Saccharomyces cerevisiae S288C: one gene and its partners. The gene in region 3 interacts genetically with the main gene of each other region. Each region holds a gene or a part of one and is shown on either strand. Other genes may lie near its edges.

Region 1 (7,879 bases), on a different chromosome or scaffold from region 3:
ACGGTTTGACCTAAGGAGGTAATACTGATACCCGCGCTTTGTAAAGCAGCGATGATTTCAGGTTCCAGTCTAGAAGAGTACCAAGGCACTTGAACCATGGCAGTGGTGATTTGAGCAAAGTCCATTTCGGTGAAATAACTGGTGTAGGAATCATCAGTAGCAGTGGTCATATGTTGGTAAACATCCAAAACACCAGATGGTAGGGTAAAGTCTGGATTATTCATTGCCAAGGACATATATTGTTCCAAATTGGCCTTGACATCAGCCAAAATAGCGTCAAATTCGACGATTTCATATTGTCCAACTTCAGCAGAAACCAATTGAGTGGAGGCAGCGGCAACAGCTAATAAGGCAGCGATTTTAGTGAAAGACATTGTTGTGTGTGGGCGGTTGAACAATTGGATCTGGGGAACACTAAAAAGAAAAAATCAAACAACCAGCAAGAAAATCTGCAGTAGAGAAAGGAAGAGGAGACGAAACGCTTATACTCTCCACCAAAGAATATATGTATATATATATTCATATGTACGTATACTGCCTTCTCAGACGGAAATCTGCAATCCATTCTAGGGCCTTCTAAAAAAAAGCCTACAGAAATCATGGTAAACAGGAACAATGGGTCGCCTTAAGGCACGCATATCTAAGAAACGTGTGCAGAAGCGGTAGGGTACACGTTCCTATCGTTCCATTTGGAGTCTACACACGTTTCCAACCTCTGCCTTCAGTCACAGTTTCTGAGTAACCTCGCTTACAAAAGAAATTTTTTTTCCCGCAAGGCGAAGTACGCCTCGTATAAGGCCAATGTCTCGTATGGGTGATGTAGGGCAGAAGCCAATGTCTCGTTCAAATGAAATAATGAGCTAATTAGGCTCCAAGTTTTACCACCTATCTGACGATTCTCTCTCTGCGTATAAGAAAAATGTTGAAAAAGCAACATTTTGCGCCAGGAAAAAAGCCCAATCATGGAAGTGGTGCAATACACATTCCAACTTACACACCGAGATTCTCCTGTCGTTATATTTCCACTTTGACGCCCCTTTATGCATCTTACTAATATTAGCTGTTCGAAGTACAGCTTACCTAGGCACATGTACTTTATCTCTCGAATTTTCCTGCTCAGTTTCTCCTACTCAAGTCTCTCCTAGTCTCTAAGGGAAGGCACCGTCTAGGACAGTGCCGGGCATCCTTTATGCAAGGGATATCCCCCCGCAGCCTTCTCCGTCCGTTTTCGTTTAGGCACTTCGCACAGAATTCACCGCAGAGAAGCGCCACATAGACGGCCACTTTTGTTTCCTACAACTTCCACTCTATCGTTTGGGGCCCGTGCCTTCGACTTTTACTCCATTGTGCTGCGGTTTTTGTTTGGCCTCGAACTTTTCCTGTCTGCGGATCTCCTGGTTTGGAAACAAGCTTTCCTCCATAGGCAAAATGGATACTACGGTACGAAGTATTTTCCGCAGATCCTGCTCTCACCTATATAAAACAACATACAACATCGTAAAGCTCTCTGCTCTTTTAGCTATTAATAGTATTATCACACACTTAAACCCTTTTCTCATTAGTTCGTAAACGGGTTGGTAAAAAGAACTTGCATACTGTAGCAAAAAAATTCACAACTAAACACGATAGAGTAAAATTAGAGAAGCAACGCCTCGCGGATGTCTCTTTCCAAATATTTTAATCCAATTCCTGACGCTTCAGTCACCTTTGATGGGGCTACCGTTCAATTGGAAGAATCCCTCGGTGCTGTTCAGAACGATGAAGAGTCCGCATCGGAATTCAAAAACGTAGGCCATTTAGAAATTAGTGATATCACTTTTCGTGCTAATGAAGGTGAAGTCGTCTTAGTACTGGGAAACCCAACATCAGCGCTCTTCAAAGGTCTATTCCATGGTCACAAGCATCTGAAATACTCGCCTGAAGGGTCTATTAGATTCAAAGACAATGAGTACAAACAGTTTGCTTCCAAATGCCCCCATCAGATCATTTATAATAACGAACAAGATATTCACTTCCCGTATCTGACGGTGGAGCAAACCATTGATTTTGCGTTGAGTTGTAAGTTTCACATTCCCAAGCAAGAGCGTATTGAAATGAGAGACGAGTTATTAAAAGAGTTCGGACTGTCGCACGTAAAGAAGACGTATGTGGGTAATGACTACGTTCGTGGTGTTTCTGGAGGTGAAAGGAAACGTATCTCCATTATAGAAACGTTTATTGCCAATGGGTCTGTTTACTTATGGGACAACTCGACGAAGGGTTTGGACTCTGCCACCGCCCTAGAATTTCTTTCCATTACCCAAAAGATGGCAAAAGCTACAAGATCGGTGAATTTTGTTAAAATTTCTCAAGCAAGCGACAAAATTGTCAGCAAGTTTGACAAGATTCTTATGTTAGGTGATTCCTTCCAGGTGTTTTACGGAACCATGGAGGAGTGTTTAACCCATTTTCATGACACCTTACAGATAAAAAAAAACCCTAACGATTGTATTATTGAATATTTAACATCAATCTTAAATTTTAAGTTCAAGGAAACGTCTAATTCCATTGTTGGTCTTGACACTCCATCTGTTGTTTCTGAAGAAAATCAAGCTTTAAACATCAATAATGAAACAGATTTGCATACATTATGGATTCAGTCTCCATACTATAAACACTGGAAGGCCATCACTTCAAAAACAGTGCAAGAATGCACCAGAAAAGATGTTAATCCGGATGATATCTCCCCCATTTTTAGTATTCCGCTAAAGACGCAACTGAAAACGTGCACTGTAAGAGCTTTCGAAAGAATCATTGGTGACAGAAACTACTTGATTTCTCAATTTGTTTCTGTTGTGGTGCAGTCTTTGGTTATTGGGTCCCTTTTTTATAACATTCCCCTGACAACAATTGGTTCGTTTTCTAGAGGATCTTTAACTTTCTTTTCCATCCTATTCTTTACATTTCTTTCTCTCGCCGACATGCCTGCTTCCTTTCAAAGGCAACCCGTCGTTCGTAAACATGTCCAGCTCCATTTTTATTATAATTGGGTGGAAACTTTAGCAACAAATTTTTTCGATTGCTGCTCTAAATTTATACTGGTGGTTATTTTTACAATCATACTTTACTTTTTGGCCCATTTACAGTACAATGCAGCTAGGTTTTTCATCTTTTTGCTTTTCCTTTCCGTCTATAATTTTTGCATGGTGTCACTATTTGCATTAACTGCTTTGATCGCTCCAACTCTATCAATGGCAAACCTATTGGCCGGTATCTTACTGTTAGCCATTGCCATGTACGCGTCCTATGTTATTTATATGAAAGATATGCATCCATGGTTCATATGGATTGCATATTTGAATCCTGCTATGTTTGCCATGGAAGCCATTTTGAGTAACGAATTGTTTAACCTGAAACTAGACTGTCATGAAAGTATTATTCCCAGAGGTGAATATTATGACAATATTTCATTCAGTCATAAAGCTTGTGCCTGGCAAGGCGCTACCCTAGGTAACGATTACGTCAGAGGCCGTGATTATTTAAAAAGTGGATTGAAATACACTTACCATCACGTGTGGAGAAATTTCGGTATTATCATTGGGTTTCTGTGTTTCTTCCTATTTTGCTCTTTACTAGCAGCGGAATATATCACGCCTCTGTTTACTAGAGAAAATTTATTGCGCTGGAATAACTATCTCAAAAGATACTGTCCCTTTCTGAATAGCCAAAAAAAGAATAATAAAAGCGCTATTACCAACAACGATGGCGTATGTACTCCCAAGACCCCGATAGCCAATTTTTCCACTTCATCCTCTTCTGTTCCATCAGTCTCGCATCAATACGATACTGATTACAATATTAAACATCCAGATGAAACTGTTAACAATCATACTAAGGAATCCGTAGCTATGGAAACGCAAAAGCACGTCATCTCCTGGAAAAATATCAATTATACCATTGGAGACAAAAAATTGATCAACGACGCTTCTGGATATATAAGTTCCGGATTAACTGCCCTAATGGGTGAATCTGGTGCTGGTAAGACAACTTTGTTGAATGTCTTGTCTCAAAGGACCGAAAGCGGGGTTGTTACCGGTGAATTATTAATCGATGGACAGCCCTTAACGAATATTGATGCATTCAGAAGAAGTATAGGGTTCGTTCAACAGCAAGATGTTCATTTAGAGCTCTTAACTGTGAGAGAGTCTTTGGAAATTTCCTGCGTCCTAAGAGGTGATGGGGATAGAGACTATTTAGGAGTTGTTAGCAACCTATTAAGATTGCCTTCGGAAAAACTGGTTGCTGATTTATCTCCAACTCAAAGAAAATTATTATCTATTGGTGTTGAATTGGTCACTAAGCCTTCTCTGTTGTTATTCCTAGATGAACCTACTTCAGGGCTAGACGCCGAAGCAGCTTTAACCATCGTGCAATTTCTGAAAAAGCTTTCGATGCAAGGTCAGGCTATCTTATGTACTATTCATCAGCCTAGCAAAAGTGTCATCAGCTATTTTGATAACATCTATTTACTAAAAAGAGGTGGTGAGTGTGTCTATTTTGGTTCATTACCTAATGCCTGTGACTATTTTGTAGCTCACGATAGACGCCTAACATTTGACAGAGAAATGGATAATCCGGCTGATTTCGTTATTGACGTTGTTGGTAGCGGAAGTACAAATATTCCAATGGATGATGCAGAGAAGCCAACCTCAAGCAAAATTGATGAGCCAGTATCTTACCATAAGCAATCTGATTCAATTAACTGGGCAGAACTCTGGCAATCCTCTCCAGAAAAAGTGCGGGTTGCTGATGATTTGCTTTTATTAGAAGAAGAAGCCCGGAAATCTGGTGTTGATTTCACTACGTCCGTATGGAGTCCGCCTTCGTATATGGAACAAATAAAGTTAATCACAAAGAGACAGTACATTTGTACCAAGAGAGACATGACCTATGTTTTCGCTAAATATGCTTTGAATGCTGGCGCTGGACTATTCATTGGATTTTCATTTTGGAGGACAAAGCATAATATCAACGGTCTGCAAGATGCTATTTTCTTGTGCTTCATGATGCTTTGTGTTTCCTCCCCTTTGATCAATCAGGTTCAAGATAAGGCTTTGCAATCTAAAGAAGTATATATCGCCAGGGAAGCGAGATCTAATACTTATCATTGGACCGTTCTTTTGATTGCTCAAACTATTGTTGAATTACCATTAGCCATTTCCAGTTCTACCTTATTTTTCCTGTGTTGCTACTTCTGTTGCGGTTTCGAAACCTCTGCCCGTGTAGCTGGTGTCTTTTACTTGAATTATATTTTATTTTCCATGTATTATTTGTCATTTGGGTTGTGGCTTCTATATTCTGCCCCCGATTTACAAACTGCCGCTGTCTTTGTTGCCTTCCTCTATAGTTTCACAGCTTCATTCTGTGGCGTTATGCAACCATACTCGTTATTCCCAAGATTTTGGACATTCATGTACAGGGTTTCACCATACACGTATTTCATTGAAACTTTCGTAAGCTTACTTCTCCATGACAGAGAAGTAAACTGCTCGACAAGTGAAATGGTACCAAGCCAACCTGTAATGGGTCAAACCTGCGGTCAGTTTATGAAACCCTTTATTGATGAATTTGGTGGGAAACTGCACATCAATAACACATACACCGTCTGCGCCTACTGCATGTACACTGTTGGGGATGACTTCCTTGCTCAAGAAAATATGAGTTATCATCACAGATGGAGAAATTTTGGTTTTGAATGGGTTTTCGTTTGCTTTAACATTGCCGCCATGTTTGTGGGCTTCTACCTAACCTACATCAAAAAAATTTGGCCTTCTGTGATTGATGGTATAAAGAAGTGTATCCCATCAATGAGGCGGTCCAAAACATCTCATAATCCAAACGAACAAAGCGTATAATCAGTGAATAGCGTTCCGTTAGAAAACATTCAAAATTACCTAATACTATTCAACAGTTCTTGTTCCTCATCCGGCTGCCTTCTGCTTTAAACTAATTGTTAATTTATTCCCAAATCATATTCTAAATTAATCTATAATCATTTTTCGGATTATATATGCTCCATACTTAATAAATATTAATACTCTCATTTCCTTTTCACTTTTTTTTTTCTCAATTAGCATTCCAGGTTCGAGAAATATCATTGATATATCGTAATTCCTTTTCAGTAAACGTGATTAGACGACCTTCGTCAAGTTCAGAGTTTGTGTGTCCGTCACCCGTAGCATATGCACAATACATATAATTAGAACATTCCTTGATTTGCATCCATGGATGAACAGAAACGTCAGGAACGATTAGTCCCTCTACGTTCAACGAAGCATCATATATCCTTTTTAATTTTGAAATGTCCCCATATCTACTCTTAAAATACTCTGGCTCTCTTCCAAAGTCATCTTCAGCACTGTTCGAAATTTTACAAGTCTTCAGTCCACCGTTTACCCATAGTAATCGATTTTTGGAGTCACTGTGTGCAATCTGCGTAGAACAAATGTAGTACATCCCGCTTTTATGTCCGTCATCATTTTCAGGCTCTTCATTAACAGGTCCAATAATACTGCCATCAACGGGATTGATAGAATAATCCTGGCCAGCATATAATTGCCCCAACCAGAATATTTCCTTGTCACCATACACACACCTCTGCAATTTTCCATCCAAATTTAACATAAAAGACATCAACAATCCATTTAATTTCTCAAGTTTATTGACTACAACCAAACCACTATCAACATGATGGAGTCGTAATTTTTTGAAAAAATTGTAATACACAGATGCTTCTTCTGAGGTTTCGGAAGAAAACGGTAATGACGAATCAAAAACTAACCTACTTCCAATAAATCTGCGTTCTTGTGCAGAGGGTTCCACTTCATTTAACATTTCGATGCAGTATTGGAAAGTTTGCTCGTTTTCCATAACCCTATCCTTGAACAAAAGTATCCCGCTCTCCCTGTAAGAAGGAGAGTCGAAAAAGTAATCAGACCCTACAAACGGTACTACGTCTGCATCCAACAAAATGTATTCTTCAAATGTGTTGAACAAAGTGGCGACCCATTTATTCTGAAAAAAAGAAATGTATGTATTAGCAAAATTAGTGTCAAGCACTGTCGAGCAGTCTACTAAGTAGACCCTTTGTTCCGTTTCTTTAGCGGTCTCAGAAATTTTAGCAATAGACTCTGCTGATAGTTCATTTCCCGTGGATACTATTTGGAATGGTAATTCGTTTTTTGAAAATTCCATCACTTTCAACTGTTTCAAAAATAAAGGAACATCCTTTTCAGCAATAGTTAAAACAAAACCTCTTCCTTTGCTCAACCTATTCCAGTTGGACCAAAAGTTACCATTAAAGTTTGATGATTCCATATCAACCTCGGGTGCCGGAACTGCCTCTCCAGTTGTCATGTCTGTGATAATAGGCCACATTACAGTTTTGGATTCCTCGTTAATTTTCTTCAGAAATGGAAACATTCTGTTTTGCAAATCATGAGGATTTACGGTTGAATTTGCAAATATTGCAGTAGGATCTAATTGACCAGATAAAAAGCAATAATCATAAGATCTTAATCTTTCCCCTAACAATGAGGCCAACGTGTTATCTACACCATCAACATTATAAAATTTTGCAGTTTGCGCATTGTCCCAGTCGGGATCAATCTTGTATAGTACTTCAAAAATGTAACGGCACTTGTCACTCTTCGCTATTTCATTATTTCCTAATTGCCTCAACAATACACGTTCTTTGTGAGAACTTCTACTCAAAAAGGGCAAAAAGTAGGCAGATAATCTGTTCATTAAGTTTTCGGATCTCACTTGGTGTTGTCGTTTTTCAATCCAATTGAATGCAGATGATTCAACAGCTGTCCTCTCGCTTGCATGGTTGTTTAAT
Region 2 (5,602 bases), on a different chromosome or scaffold from region 3:
ATGAACCATATGTTCCTTGTGGTCCCATTTCTCAAAGTCAAGTTGTTGATGAATTCGAACCAAATCGTTTCCCACAATAACCAGTTACTTTTCGATTTGCAGTCCGTAATCCTGGCGTTCATAACGTTCGCAAATAAAGAGGGGTTTGCACTAGTTTCAGGTTTGATCGGCTGCTGCATTACGAAACATTCATTCAAGTAAACCAGCAAATCATGCACTCTAAAATCAGATGGCAGCTCTTGCGGATAAGTCTTCTTTATTATAAAATACACGTACGCGGAATCTGCCAAAATATTGATATGCTTTAAAGTTAAGTCAGTAGTGGACATTGACGGTCCCTTGTATATGAAGTCCTTAAGTGGATTAGACGAAATAAACTCTTGATTGACGAACCAACCAAATATTAGTAAAGAATCGTTGTTGAAGTTGTTTGAATCGCGCAAGATATTGACCCATAGATCGAATATGAACCATGCATTTTCCTTACTATTCAAATAATGGTAACTGGAGGATGCCACGGTGAATGGCTTCAGAATATCTTGAAGCATTGAAAACACATCGAACTTTTTAATGGAATTAGAAACAGGAATGTTATTCTCCAACATTACTAGAAGAGAATAAAATAGAATCAAGGCAAAAACATCATGTTGCTCTGTCTGTGACAAAATGTCCTCAGTGTCAAAGTCATTGTCATGTTTAGATGAGCTAGCATACAAATTCGTACAACAGATAAACCATAGTTTTTGAGAATCTTGATTTAACGAAATGGACATACCCAGACAAGCTATTATGAGACCAAAAGGCTTGTTAATCCAAAAACTTTCCACCAGCTCGTCATTTTGTAGTGATGAGAACAGGTCTGGAAAGAAATTTTGGAAGATCTTATTTTCTACCAAGTGGCTTACACCCATTCTGAAGAAAGTTAGAATATCTCTTGAGCTAATAAAATCTAATGAATATTCTTGCAAAATTTTTACACTGATGGAGGACTCCAACCGGCTTTTAACCTGCTTAAAGCGGCTTTTCCCTTTCTTTAAACTAGAGGACTCCTTCCCAATCACACAACGTTGCTGCTTATCCATTTTTTCAACATTACTACTATGATAGTGAATATTGATAAGGCCGCTGTTGACCTTAATCATCGAATTAACGAGTGTTTCCATTTTGATATCTCTGGGTGAAGTCGAATCAACGTCACCAACGCCAAGTGATACAGGGATATCAGCCTTATCGCCTGTCATTGACGCGTAACTGGATAAGAGGAAGGTTCTGTGGACAGTCCTGATGTGTCGCTGTAAGAGATCGCGTCTAACAAAAGAGTGTTTACAGACTTGGCACTGGAAAGGCTTCACGCCCGCATGAGACCTTTCATGCCTTATCTTGTGCTCGGATCTCGAGAAAGGCTTCAAACAAAAGGAACATATATATTTTTTTTGACCCGCAGCCATAGCAGTGATAATGCAAATACAATTACTGTATATCAACAATTGTCTTCTCCCGAGAGAAGGTTTTAAATAAAAGCGACAAGTAAAGCTCTTAAGCCATGCCAACTGGCATGAAGAAGAACCGAAAAAGAAGAAATAGAAAGCAGAAAAATGTAAAACTAAACTTTATAAGTACTTTGAAGATGCGTTCTATATAAATATGTGGGGTTAAGTGAACATGACTCGAAATCTATAATGCAGCGATTACGATAAGTATCCACATTAAACGTCAATTATTTTGCGTTGTAAGCATATGCGCGGGGGAGGGGGCGCACCCTTGAAGTGCAGTCTGTCTATCATATTACTGAACCATTTCCTTCGCTTGACTTACATCATTGGCAACACATGCCTGGATCGCTTTAGCGGCTACCTTTAGTCCATATTTTCTTCTATTACCAGATCCCATCATCCCCCTTTGTCCGATTGACGACCATTTTGCCGCGGACGATCGGAGGGGATTGCCAACGCGGGGTAGCCGACTCGGGGCGCCGAGAGCGGGGATCAGTCATCGTCGCAGTAAGCGGGTACGGACCCTGTCACGTAAGACGATGCCGATGCCTGCGCCTGCGCCTGCTCGTATGACGGCACTGTCAGTACCACCGAATCGGCGCCGAGCGGCTGTAGCGCCGGCATGAGATGATCGTTGGTGCTCTCGTGATAATTCGGTGGCGGTTGTGGCAGCGCGAGGTGCGCCGTTGTAGTGGAGTTCAGTTCAACGCCTGGAGTCAGACCCTGCGCGGGGTAAGTGGTTAAAAAAAGGGGTACTAATTCGCCAGGGCGGAAGTGGATCTTGCCATCGTGTTTATCAAACAACACTAGACGGCCTTTCATAGGCAGATGCGGCGAAATAAATAATAACATAGGTAATTGCGCCTTGATCTCCAGGTTCTTGTATTCGCCATCCACTTGACGTTGTAAAAGAATACGTACCTGCAATTTGTGCATGACACGGATTAGGTTGTCTTGCAGACAGCAGTCTTGAGTTATTTGTTTGAGGTTATCTGGAATTGTAAAGGGACAATCGACGTCAAGTTTGTCCGTCAGCGGGCCGAAGTCCGCTAGATGAGTAATTTTCATGACGGCTATTTCATCATCATAAATTTGTGCGCTGCTGTCCTTCATTGCGTAATATTGGATTAGCGCCATTTCTATCCTATCCAAACGAATGTTCTTTTCGAAGGGGAAAATCTTAATCTTCACGGGGGTTGTGCTACCAATAGGAACAGCCCTACTCGGGATGGACGTTTCGTATTGCAACTTGTCACGCCAAGTATTACCCACGCTAATTTCTTCTTGCATGGCAAGATTGTCCATCGATAATGTACGAAGGATTCTGAGATACTTGAACTTTTTGATGATAATTTTATTCTTCGTTCTCATACCATTGCCGCTCGTACTTGTGCTACCGATTGGACCGTGAGGAGAAGTATGAACGCTCAGATCAGTATCCCATAACTGACGTCCATCTATAATGGCTTCAAAGGAATACAGTATGCTACCACTTTGTAGTCCCTCGATTGTTTCGCACACTTCTGGGGGGAGCATTGTATTGAAGGGTAGTTCGTAGTTGCCTCTTTTCATTAGGAATAAGTACGAACTTCCAGACCCGTCTCTGTTACTATAACTATGGCTATTGTTATTGAGGGTGTTACTACTACTGCTTCTACTACGGGCGTTTTCTCTTAAACCCTCGAAAGGGGTTCCTGTAACACCATTTTCTGGTAGCTCTAGTATTTTTCTGTGGGAAGAATGGGTCTTTCTTCGAATTATTTTGTTGAAAACAGGGCTCGAAAGTGATCTCTTGCTTAGAAATATTGCGTTGCCGCTGGTGTCCATATCTTGGTTGCTTGTACTGCGACCGCTACTACTGTTATGTTGATTTTCCGCATTTTCCCCACCGACTAAAACATCCCCTTTTGAAGAAACCAATAAGTTGTCCCAATAGCATTCGAAAATCTTACGCTTTTCCTTAACTAGACTTGCCAAACTACTGCTATTCTTCTTATATCGGCCAACTTGCAAAAACTCCAATTTGAATCTTCCTACCAATCTCAGCGAAATTTTCTTCACTACGATCTCATTTTTCACTGAAATCACTAAGTTTCCTGATAAAGGTATAGACGACAGTTCCAACGGTGACCCTTGGATCAAAATTATGTCCTTGTACGGGGAGTTTATTCTAATATCAAAATAACTTATTCTCTCTCTTTCCTTCTGCTCTGAATGCCCACCGCTGCTAGATAGCGAACTAAGTGAAAACATGGTCTTGCTTCACCCTATTCTCGCCGAGAGCTGTACAAGATATTTTTTACTTTTGCCATCTTATACTCATCCTAATCATCTGTTTCATTTTCCTTCTATTTCTTTTTTTTTTTTTTTTTTTTTTTTTTTTTTCAGTTTTCGAAGAAACTGCCTTTTTAGAATTGTAAAAGACGAAGTGAAGTATTCAGGAGTATATTATTACATACATACAAAGCAAGACAAAGAAACATTTTTAGATCTAACATTTTACTTCAATTGTTTTTGTATTCCTTATAATAAGAAAGACCTGCTGTTTAATGTGGGAGTAATCCGTCCCCTACTCGATCTTCAATAAATTGTCATCTTGTATCTAAAGGAGCGCTCCAGTACTCCAATTAAGCACCACCTAGTGCGTCTAGTGTCGATTTTTTTTTCACGCATACGTTTGTATGTTTCTTAAATTTCCCATGATTTTTTGTTGCCAATGTCATATCTACAAACTCTATACGAAAGTAAACGCACTTCATCTTTTTTGCCCTAAAACGGCAATATTTAGACATATCATAAGGGGCCCAAGGGAGAATCGTTAATTTTAAACTTTTCTTTGCTCTTGAATGAAAAAGTAAATAAATAAAACTAAATCAAAAAAAAGAACGCCACGTTTGAATTTTAAAGCAAAAATTTTGTTGATTTAGTAATGATATAAATAAAACCAAGTCGTTGGTAAGAATTTGGTTAGGTTATGAATAGTAATGAACTGGATCTAAGAAATAAATATTTTTATGAGATATTCGGTAAGAAAAGAAAATCAGATACTTCAACCCCTACTCAGTTGTTCTCCGGCTCCAAAGTTCAGACAAACATCAATGAAATTTCTATCACTAACGATGAGGATGAAGATAGTACTGAAGATGAAAATAAGGCTTCATTGAAGGATTATACACTAGGGCACGACACCGGTGCACGGTATAGGATAGCACCGGACTGTTCTTCCCACCAATTAAAGGCATCTCCTGTCCTACATATTTCAACAAACCTTAATTCAAGTCCACAATCCTTCACAGGCGATCAGATTTCACCTACTAATAAAAAAATTTCAATAAATGATTCGACCAGACAAGATAAAGGTAACAGTTGCACTACCACTTCATCACCTTCTCAAAAAAGATCGAATGTTTTGCTTCCTCACGTAAGAAAACATTCATCTCCTTCACTATTATCATTTTCCAAAAACAGTGGCAGTCATATGGGGGATCCAAACCAGCTATCTACGCCTCCAACTCCCAAAAGTGCAGGTCACACGATGGAGTTACACAGTTCATTCAATGGAAAACATAGTTCTTCTAGCACCTCTTCTTTATTTGCATTAGAGTCACTGAAAACCCAAAATAGACGCTCATCAAACTCTTCCAATCATTCTAGTCAATATCGACGCCATACTAATCAACACCAACGTCATCATTCAAGGTCCAAATCAAGTCCTGTCTCTCTGACGGAAATATCCATGATCAAAGGCACGCCTTTGGTTTATCCTGCACTTTTATCACTAATAGCAATTAAATTCAAACAGACCATCAAATTGAGCACGCATAAAAAGATGGGGTTACTTTACAGAGATTCCTTTACAGGAAAACAAGCAATTGATACTTTATGCTTGATCATAGGAAGCTTAGATCGTAATTTGGGCATGTTGATCGGAAAATCGCTGGAAGCTCAAAAATTGTTCCATGACGTACTTTATGACCATGGCGTAAGAGATTCTGTACTGGAGATTTACGAGTTATCTTCAGAATCAATTTTTATGGCACATCAGTCGCAGAGTTCTACTTCAATTGCCAACACATTTTCTTCATCATCTTCTTCAGTTAATTCGCTCC
Region 3 (6,818 bases):
CTGACCGCCACTCTAGAACTGGTAAGACTGACACCAAGAAGAAGGTTAACCAAGGTTGGGGTGATGACAAGAAGGAATTGAGTGCTGAAAAGGAAGCTCAAGCCGATGCTGCTGCTGAAATTGCTGAAGACGCTGCAGAAGCTGAAGACGCTGGTAAGCCAAAGACCGCTCAATTGTCTTTGCAAGACTACTTGAACCAACAAGCTAACAACCAGTTCAACAAGGTCCCAGAAGCTAAGAAGGTTGAATTAGACGCTGAAAGAATTGAAACTGCTGAAAAGGAAGCTTACGTTCCAGCAACCAAGGTCAAGAACGTCAAATCTAAGCAATTGAAGACCAAGGAGTACTTGGAATTTGATGCCACTTTTGTTGAATCTAACACTAGAAAGAACTTCGGTGACAGAAACAACAACAGCAGAAACAACTTCAACAACCGTCGTGGTGGTAGAGGCGCTAGAAAGGGTAACAACACTGCTAACGCTACTAACTCTGCTAACACCGTTCAAAAGAACCGTAACATTGACGTTTCTAACTTGCCATCTTTGGCTTAAGCCTTATATATGAATAATTCCAACTGAAAGAATCCAATAACAGTGTTCTACTTTCTGTTTCTATTACTATTATTATTTTAATTGGTTATTTACTATATAATTTGCAAGTGAAGATGATCATGCTGGCAAACCAAAGAATAAAATTGGGTTGACATCCAATCGAGAATATGACATATCATTTTGTTTTATTTAAGCAATAAAAAATAAATGACTTTTAATTTACTTTTCAATTTTCTTTTTTTTTTTTTCACTTCTGAGATGTGCAAGCGTGTAGTTTGTTTGTATTTGTATAACAATTTCATCATTAGTCATTCTTCATTAAAAACTTTTTGTTATCGATTAAGGACATCCAGTATGATTCTTTTTCTCTCATCTTGATTATCTCTTGAGAGTATTGTTAGGCAACGCATTATACCACAGTTTTTTTTACCAAAGCGAGCGGCACTCCAGCAGGTGCTTCATGTAGTATTCAGGTATCACATCGCTATATTTTAAGTTTCTGTCGCCGTTGATCATTCCTATCTCCCATTCACTTCTTCCGTTCGGTTGCATCTGATTACCATAGTCATGTAGTCCAACTATCAAATCTTCGTGCCCTAGTTCTCCTTTTAACTTTTCGTCCATTAGTCCATTAGCTATACATGAAACGTCGAATAATATTTTACATGTGAGTCCCCACAAATCCCTGAATCTGAAAATACCTCCATCAACACCGTCTTCGTCTGAACTTGATAAATCCTCTATGGTTTGCAACCATGGCATTTCGTTATTATTTGCTACGTGAAAATGATAATGCATAATCAACCATTTTATTCCACCCCAATTAAGCTTATACTCCTTCCGCTCAAAATATTCTGCTTGATAACTCTTAACATCCTCATCGGCTTCAGGAAGAAGATGTATAACTAAGTCATTGAGTGGTACAGAAAACAAAGAAGATGTTTCTCCAGGGTTCAGCTTACCAAAAAACTTACGGATATCTAAGGGAACTTTGTATTTATCCTCATGTTTTTCTAATTTATCTTTGTAAAGAAAACAGACCATTGGCTTAACACTTAAAAATGTTCTTGATAAATAGCATGGCATATCCATGACCAAATTGTCTAATTTCATTCCGAACTCCTTATGCAAGACCTCAGGATCATGCGGTAACCCAATCTCCTCTTCAGCTTCTCTTCTGGCTACGCTTTCAAAGGTTTCTTGAAAATAATCAGCTTTACCTCCAGGAAATGAAACATCACCTGAGAAGCTTCTCAATGTTCTTGAACGTTTAGTTAAAAGCACTCGTAGTTCGCCTTTCATTCCAATGAATAATAGTATTATTACCGCCGAATTTCTTTTGAAAGGCCATATTGAGCTCCGAGTATATGGTGTTTTATGAAATTTGTATCTTATCAAGTTCTCTATTAGTTGCTTTGAACTCAGCATCCTCCTCTGACTTAATATCATTACAGCTTTTCTGTTACATGTGTGATTCTCTTCAAATCTACAATATTATTATTGAATTGTTATAAATATACTTACGCGGATCCCCCCCCACAACCCTACCCCAAAAAATAAATACAACGAATAAATACGCGATTGGAATTCATCGCTACTTTTGAAAAAACAGAATATATAAGTTGATAATAAGCTACTCTTGTATATACCTATTCGCCTAGGGATATAATCAAACTTTTAAATCGACCTTTAAGGTATATGTAACAACAAACGCCACAGTGATGAAAAGAATCGCATACTGCATGACAAATAAGACGGACAAACAGTTCATTTGAATGTGATCACCACATGCTGGCGTATAAAATGCTGTGAAATATACTTGAGCAGTAGCACTCGGCATGGACCACGTTAATATCATGTCAAATTTTCCTATGCCCGTATCCAGCCAATCGATCGAATATAGTTTATTTACCCATAGGACGCCAATAATAGGAATGACAATTAATCGAAAGCATGTCATCAATAAGGCGGATTTAATAAATCCAGGTGGCAATGACTTAATTTCTAATCTTGCCAACGTTCCGCCAAGTAATAGAAGCCCCAATGGAACACATGCATTTCCAATATACTCTGTAAAATCCATTAAAAAATTCAGAACAGGTTCTCCATCAGGCGCCTTATGAACGTGAACATATGTCGTTACGAAGCATGCTTTAACCCAGGGAATTAATGCACATATTATTCCTAGTATTGCCCCCAGAGATGCTGGCCTGAGGCAATTTATAATAAAGTACTGCAACCATTTGAGATTGTGTCTCTCTATAAAGAAGGAGAGGCTACCCCTCCCGTCGGTGGCCATATTAGTGCAATTTTCTTCTTCGATGGAACTTTCATCGGTATAACCAGTGTGCACATTACCAATACTTGCGTTCCTGCTTCCAACTTCTTCAGTCAAGGATAGTGGTCTTGATAAATCTAATTCACCTTGCCTTATTTTTTCGGCGGCACTGTATTTGGAAATCAACTCATTCATATCCGCTTTCCTTTTTCTTCTATAACTTCTGCCATCGCTATTTTTTGATATACGACTATATGAGAGGGAACTGCCATCTATTCGCGAGAACTCCAATGCGCCTGGGCTTGAATAAGTCGAGGAAACCCTATATATTTCAGCATGCGGAAGGTCACTTTCAAATTTATGGGATGCACCATTTGATTCTTTATAGGGTTTGATGTAGCCAGTAAAACCTTCGTAGAATGCCTGCGGTGTCATTTCATTTGTAGTAATAGAGTTACAAGACAAATCGCTATTACTTCTCGCATCTTCCGATTGATAGGCATTTGTAGGACGTGTGATATTAGGTAACTTTGTTATTTCAGTAAGTTTGCGATCGTCGATAGCGGGACTTACTGACGGAGTAATATTCTCACTATCTGGTTCTTTTGTATCTCTAAAATCAAGTCCGACCACTCTCCACATTCCAAAATTCATCATTAGGAAACTTTGAATAAATAAAAAAATGCAGGAATAAGCAACACCTTTATCAGCTTCTTCAGCAGTAAAAATGGAGCCGTTACCCATGCTCTGAATATAGGCAATAGGTAAATCTGATATATTTGGAAAGAAACCCGCAAATATGAGCCCCCAGAAGAATTTTTTGGGCACAGTCGTAGCAAATGTAGTAAATAAGGCGCCCGTGGCACCTAAAACAAACAAGATAAAAGCTGAAAGTATTATCACTCCAATCTCCTTTATATCCCTCCATGAAATATTGGACACAATTTTGTTGAAGGTCAAACAAGGCAAAATAGCGTTAACAACCATATTTGATATACCTTTCGCATTTTCCATGGAAACAATATCGAACTTAGCTACCAAATAGCCAACAAGCATAATGGTGTAAATTTTAAATATAGGTTTTAATGCAATGTAAATAGCGGCACCCAGAGAAAGGGACATCTTGGTTCATTTATTGTAGTACTAGAAAATCGTTTCCACCATATAAAAATGATAGACCTTGATCAGACACATGTAGAATTACCGATAGAAGAAATACTATATGAGTACTGTAACTTGTTTTACCTCTTATACGTTACACACTTTGATGTAAATATGACTCACCTTATGTACCAGACATTGACCCAAAAATACAGATATACAAAAGGTGAAAAAAGATATAGTAGTTCCTCGACGTATGCCTACGGGGAAAACAATATAGATGGAATTCTATAACACCGACAGTGATGTTTCTCCTGAAATTTGTGCCAAATAGCGCCGCGGAAAGTCGGCACATTTTGCAACATGGACTTCGGAGGTCTGATATCATCCCGTAACCTTCTCGTAATGCATCAGATTCTGGTCATGCTTGTTCAATATACATCCTACGTGCACAACGAACAATAGCTTTCTCGGTATCTTATTCGATTATCCCCGAAGTTTCTTGAAACGGCAATATCCTTTTACCCTATCCCGGGCGAAGAACCCCGTCACAGTGCATTACTTTATTCCCACTATAGGGATAACAGGGGCGATTGTGTACGAATAACTAGATTGTATTTAGATAACTAAGATATATGATAAGTGCGTAAAAATGGATATATCTATACATATATATCACTAAGTGCATAAAGTCTTTGTATTTTCGCTTTCCTAGCTGACCAGTAAAAGATCTTGTTTTTTAACTGATGGATAAATAGTAATTTATAACTGAATAGAGCAAAAGTTGGGAAAATAGAAAATAGAAAACAGAAAAGGAGCGAAATTTTATCTCATTACGAAATTTTTCTCATTTAAGTTATTTCTTTTTTTGAGAGAAAAATTGGTTCTCTACAGCAGAAATGATGGCAGGTACAACTTCTGGGTTGGCCAAAGTAGTTAGGTCACCTAGCTGTTCGGCTTCGTTAGAAGCAACCTTTCTTAGAACTCTTCTCATAATCTTTCCTGACCTTGTTCTTGGTAGATCTCTAACTAGAATAATGGTTTTTGGTGAGGCGAAAGGACCAATCTCACCCCTAACTTGTAAGATCAATTCTCTACGTAAATTATCTGGTGTGATGTGTTCTGCATCACCTTCAGTAGCGTTGTTTTGTAGATAACCATCTTTTAGGGAAACATATGCAACGACGGTTTGACCGGTCAATTCATCTGGAATACCGACAACAGCAGCTTCCGAGACGTTTTCGTGATTTGAGATAGATGCTTCAATTTCTGATGTGGATAATCTATGACCGGAAACATTTACAACGTCGTCAACTCTACCCCTGATCCAGTAGTAACCATCATGATCTCTACCAGCACCATCACCTGTGAAATAGTGACCAGGATAAGGTTTCAAGTAAGTATCCATGTAACGGTCGTGGTGGTTCCAAACAGATCTAGCCATTGATGGCCATGGTGATTTAACGGCAAGGACACCTTCGACATCATTACCTTCTAATTCCACACCTGTAACAGGGTCAATGATACAAGCGTTAATACCAAAGAATGGCACGGTAGCAGAACCAGGTTTTGTTGGGACAGCACCTGCCAAAGGAGCAATTAAATGAGAACCAGACTCTGTTTGCCACATAGTGTCACAAATGACACAGTTTTTGTTACCCACTTTTTCATGATACCATTCCCATAAGTCTGGAGAGATTGGTTCACCGACGGAACCCAAGACACGTAATGAGGAAGTGTCATATTTGGCAATTTCGGCTTCACCTACACGTTTGATTAATCTTAAAGCAGTTGGAGCCACATAGAAATGGGTAGCCTTGTGACGTTGGATAATTCTCCAATATCTACCATAATCTGGGTAGGCAGGAGTGGATTCGAAAATTATTGAGGCGGTACCCAAGGTTAATGGACCATATAGAGCATAGGTGTGACCCGTGATCCAGCCGACGTCACCGGCAGTGAAGAGAACATCTTCTGGGTGAATATCAAAAACGTATCTAGTTGTTAAAGCGGCACCTAATAAATAACCACCTGTAGTGTGAACGACACCCTTTGGAGAACCAGTGGAACCGGAAGTGTATAATAAAAATAGAGGATCTTCAGCGTCACATGAAACAGGAGGTAGGTAAGTTCTCTGCTTAGCGGCCTCCTCATGCCACCAGTAATCTCTACCGGCCTTCATTGGAATACCTTCAGTACCAGTTCTTTGGAAAACCAAGATACGGGAAACCAAATCGACTCCGTTCAAACCTTCGTCAACAATTTTTTTAGTGTTGATGGTCTTACCACCTCTTTTACCTTCATCACAAGTGATGACCACTTTAGAATTAGCGTCAACGACACGATCTTTCAACGAACCAGCGGAGAACCCAGCAAAGACAACAGAGTGAATAGCACCAATACGAGCCACAGCCAACATAGCAATGACCGCTTCTGGAATCATTGGCAAATAGATAGCCACTGTGTCACCTTTCTTAACGCCCCAGCTTTTTAAGACACCAGCGATTTGGGAAACTTTTCTGAGTAATTCACCAAATGTGATGATTTTGTTGTCGGATTCGTCATCAGCTTCATAGATCAAAGCTGGCTTGTCGGGATTAGCAAAGGCATGTCTGTCAACACAATTGTATGATGCATTCAATTTACCGTTCAAAAACCATGCAACATCACCATTGTTCAATGAACCAGATTGAACTTTGGTGTATGGAGCATCCCAATGCAAGTATTCCTTAGCCATCTTATCAAAGAATTTTTCTGGCTCATTGATAGATTGTTGATACATTTCTTGATAATGTTGCATATCAGTAACGTAACCCTTGCCGGGTTGGCTGTTGTAAAAATGTTGAGGAGCCTTAAGAGCCTTTACGTTGTGAGCTTCATAAACTACT

The links. Genes that interact genetically often act in the same process or in processes that back each other up.
Region 1: mutations in YLR152C (region 3) and PDR11 together harm fitness more than expected from each alone (negative genetic interaction), as found in Saccharomyces cerevisiae (2 studies listed by BioGRID).
Region 2: mutations in YLR152C (region 3) and ART5 together harm fitness more than expected from each alone (negative genetic interaction), as found in Saccharomyces cerevisiae (2 studies listed by BioGRID).

The regions. Positions count from the first base shown.
Region 1 is NC_001141.2:326,222-334,100, reverse strand, and holds PDR11 (ATP-binding cassette multidrug transporter PDR11), read left to right. Parts: upstream 1-1,658; coding exon 1,659-5,894; downstream 5,895-7,879. Other genes in the region: TIR3 (Tir3p), read right to left, coding at 1-374; YIL012W (uncharacterized protein), read right to left, coding at 749-1,090; alpha-1,3-mannosyltransferase MNT3, read right to left, coding at 6,106-7,879. UniProt on the Saccharomyces cerevisiae protein: Transporter involved in the uptake of sterol.
Region 2 is NC_001139.9:623,339-628,940, forward strand, and holds ART5 (Art5p), read right to left. Parts: upstream 3,747-5,602; coding exon 1,986-3,746; downstream 1-1,985. Other genes in the region: YGR067C (uncharacterized protein), read right to left, coding at 1-1,448; Rho family guanine nucleotide exchange factor ROM1, read left to right, coding at 4,468-5,602. UniProt on the Saccharomyces cerevisiae protein: May regulate endocytosis by recruiting RSP5 ubiquitin ligase activity to specific plasma membrane proteins in response to extracellular stimuli.
Region 3 is NC_001144.5:440,738-447,555, forward strand, and holds YLR152C (uncharacterized protein), read right to left. Parts: upstream 3,952-6,818; coding exon 2,221-3,951; downstream 1-2,220. Other genes in the region: STM1 (Stm1p), read left to right, coding at 1-551; PCD1 (8-oxo-dGTP diphosphatase), read right to left, coding at 978-2,000; acetate--CoA ligase ACS2, read right to left, coding at 4,787-6,818.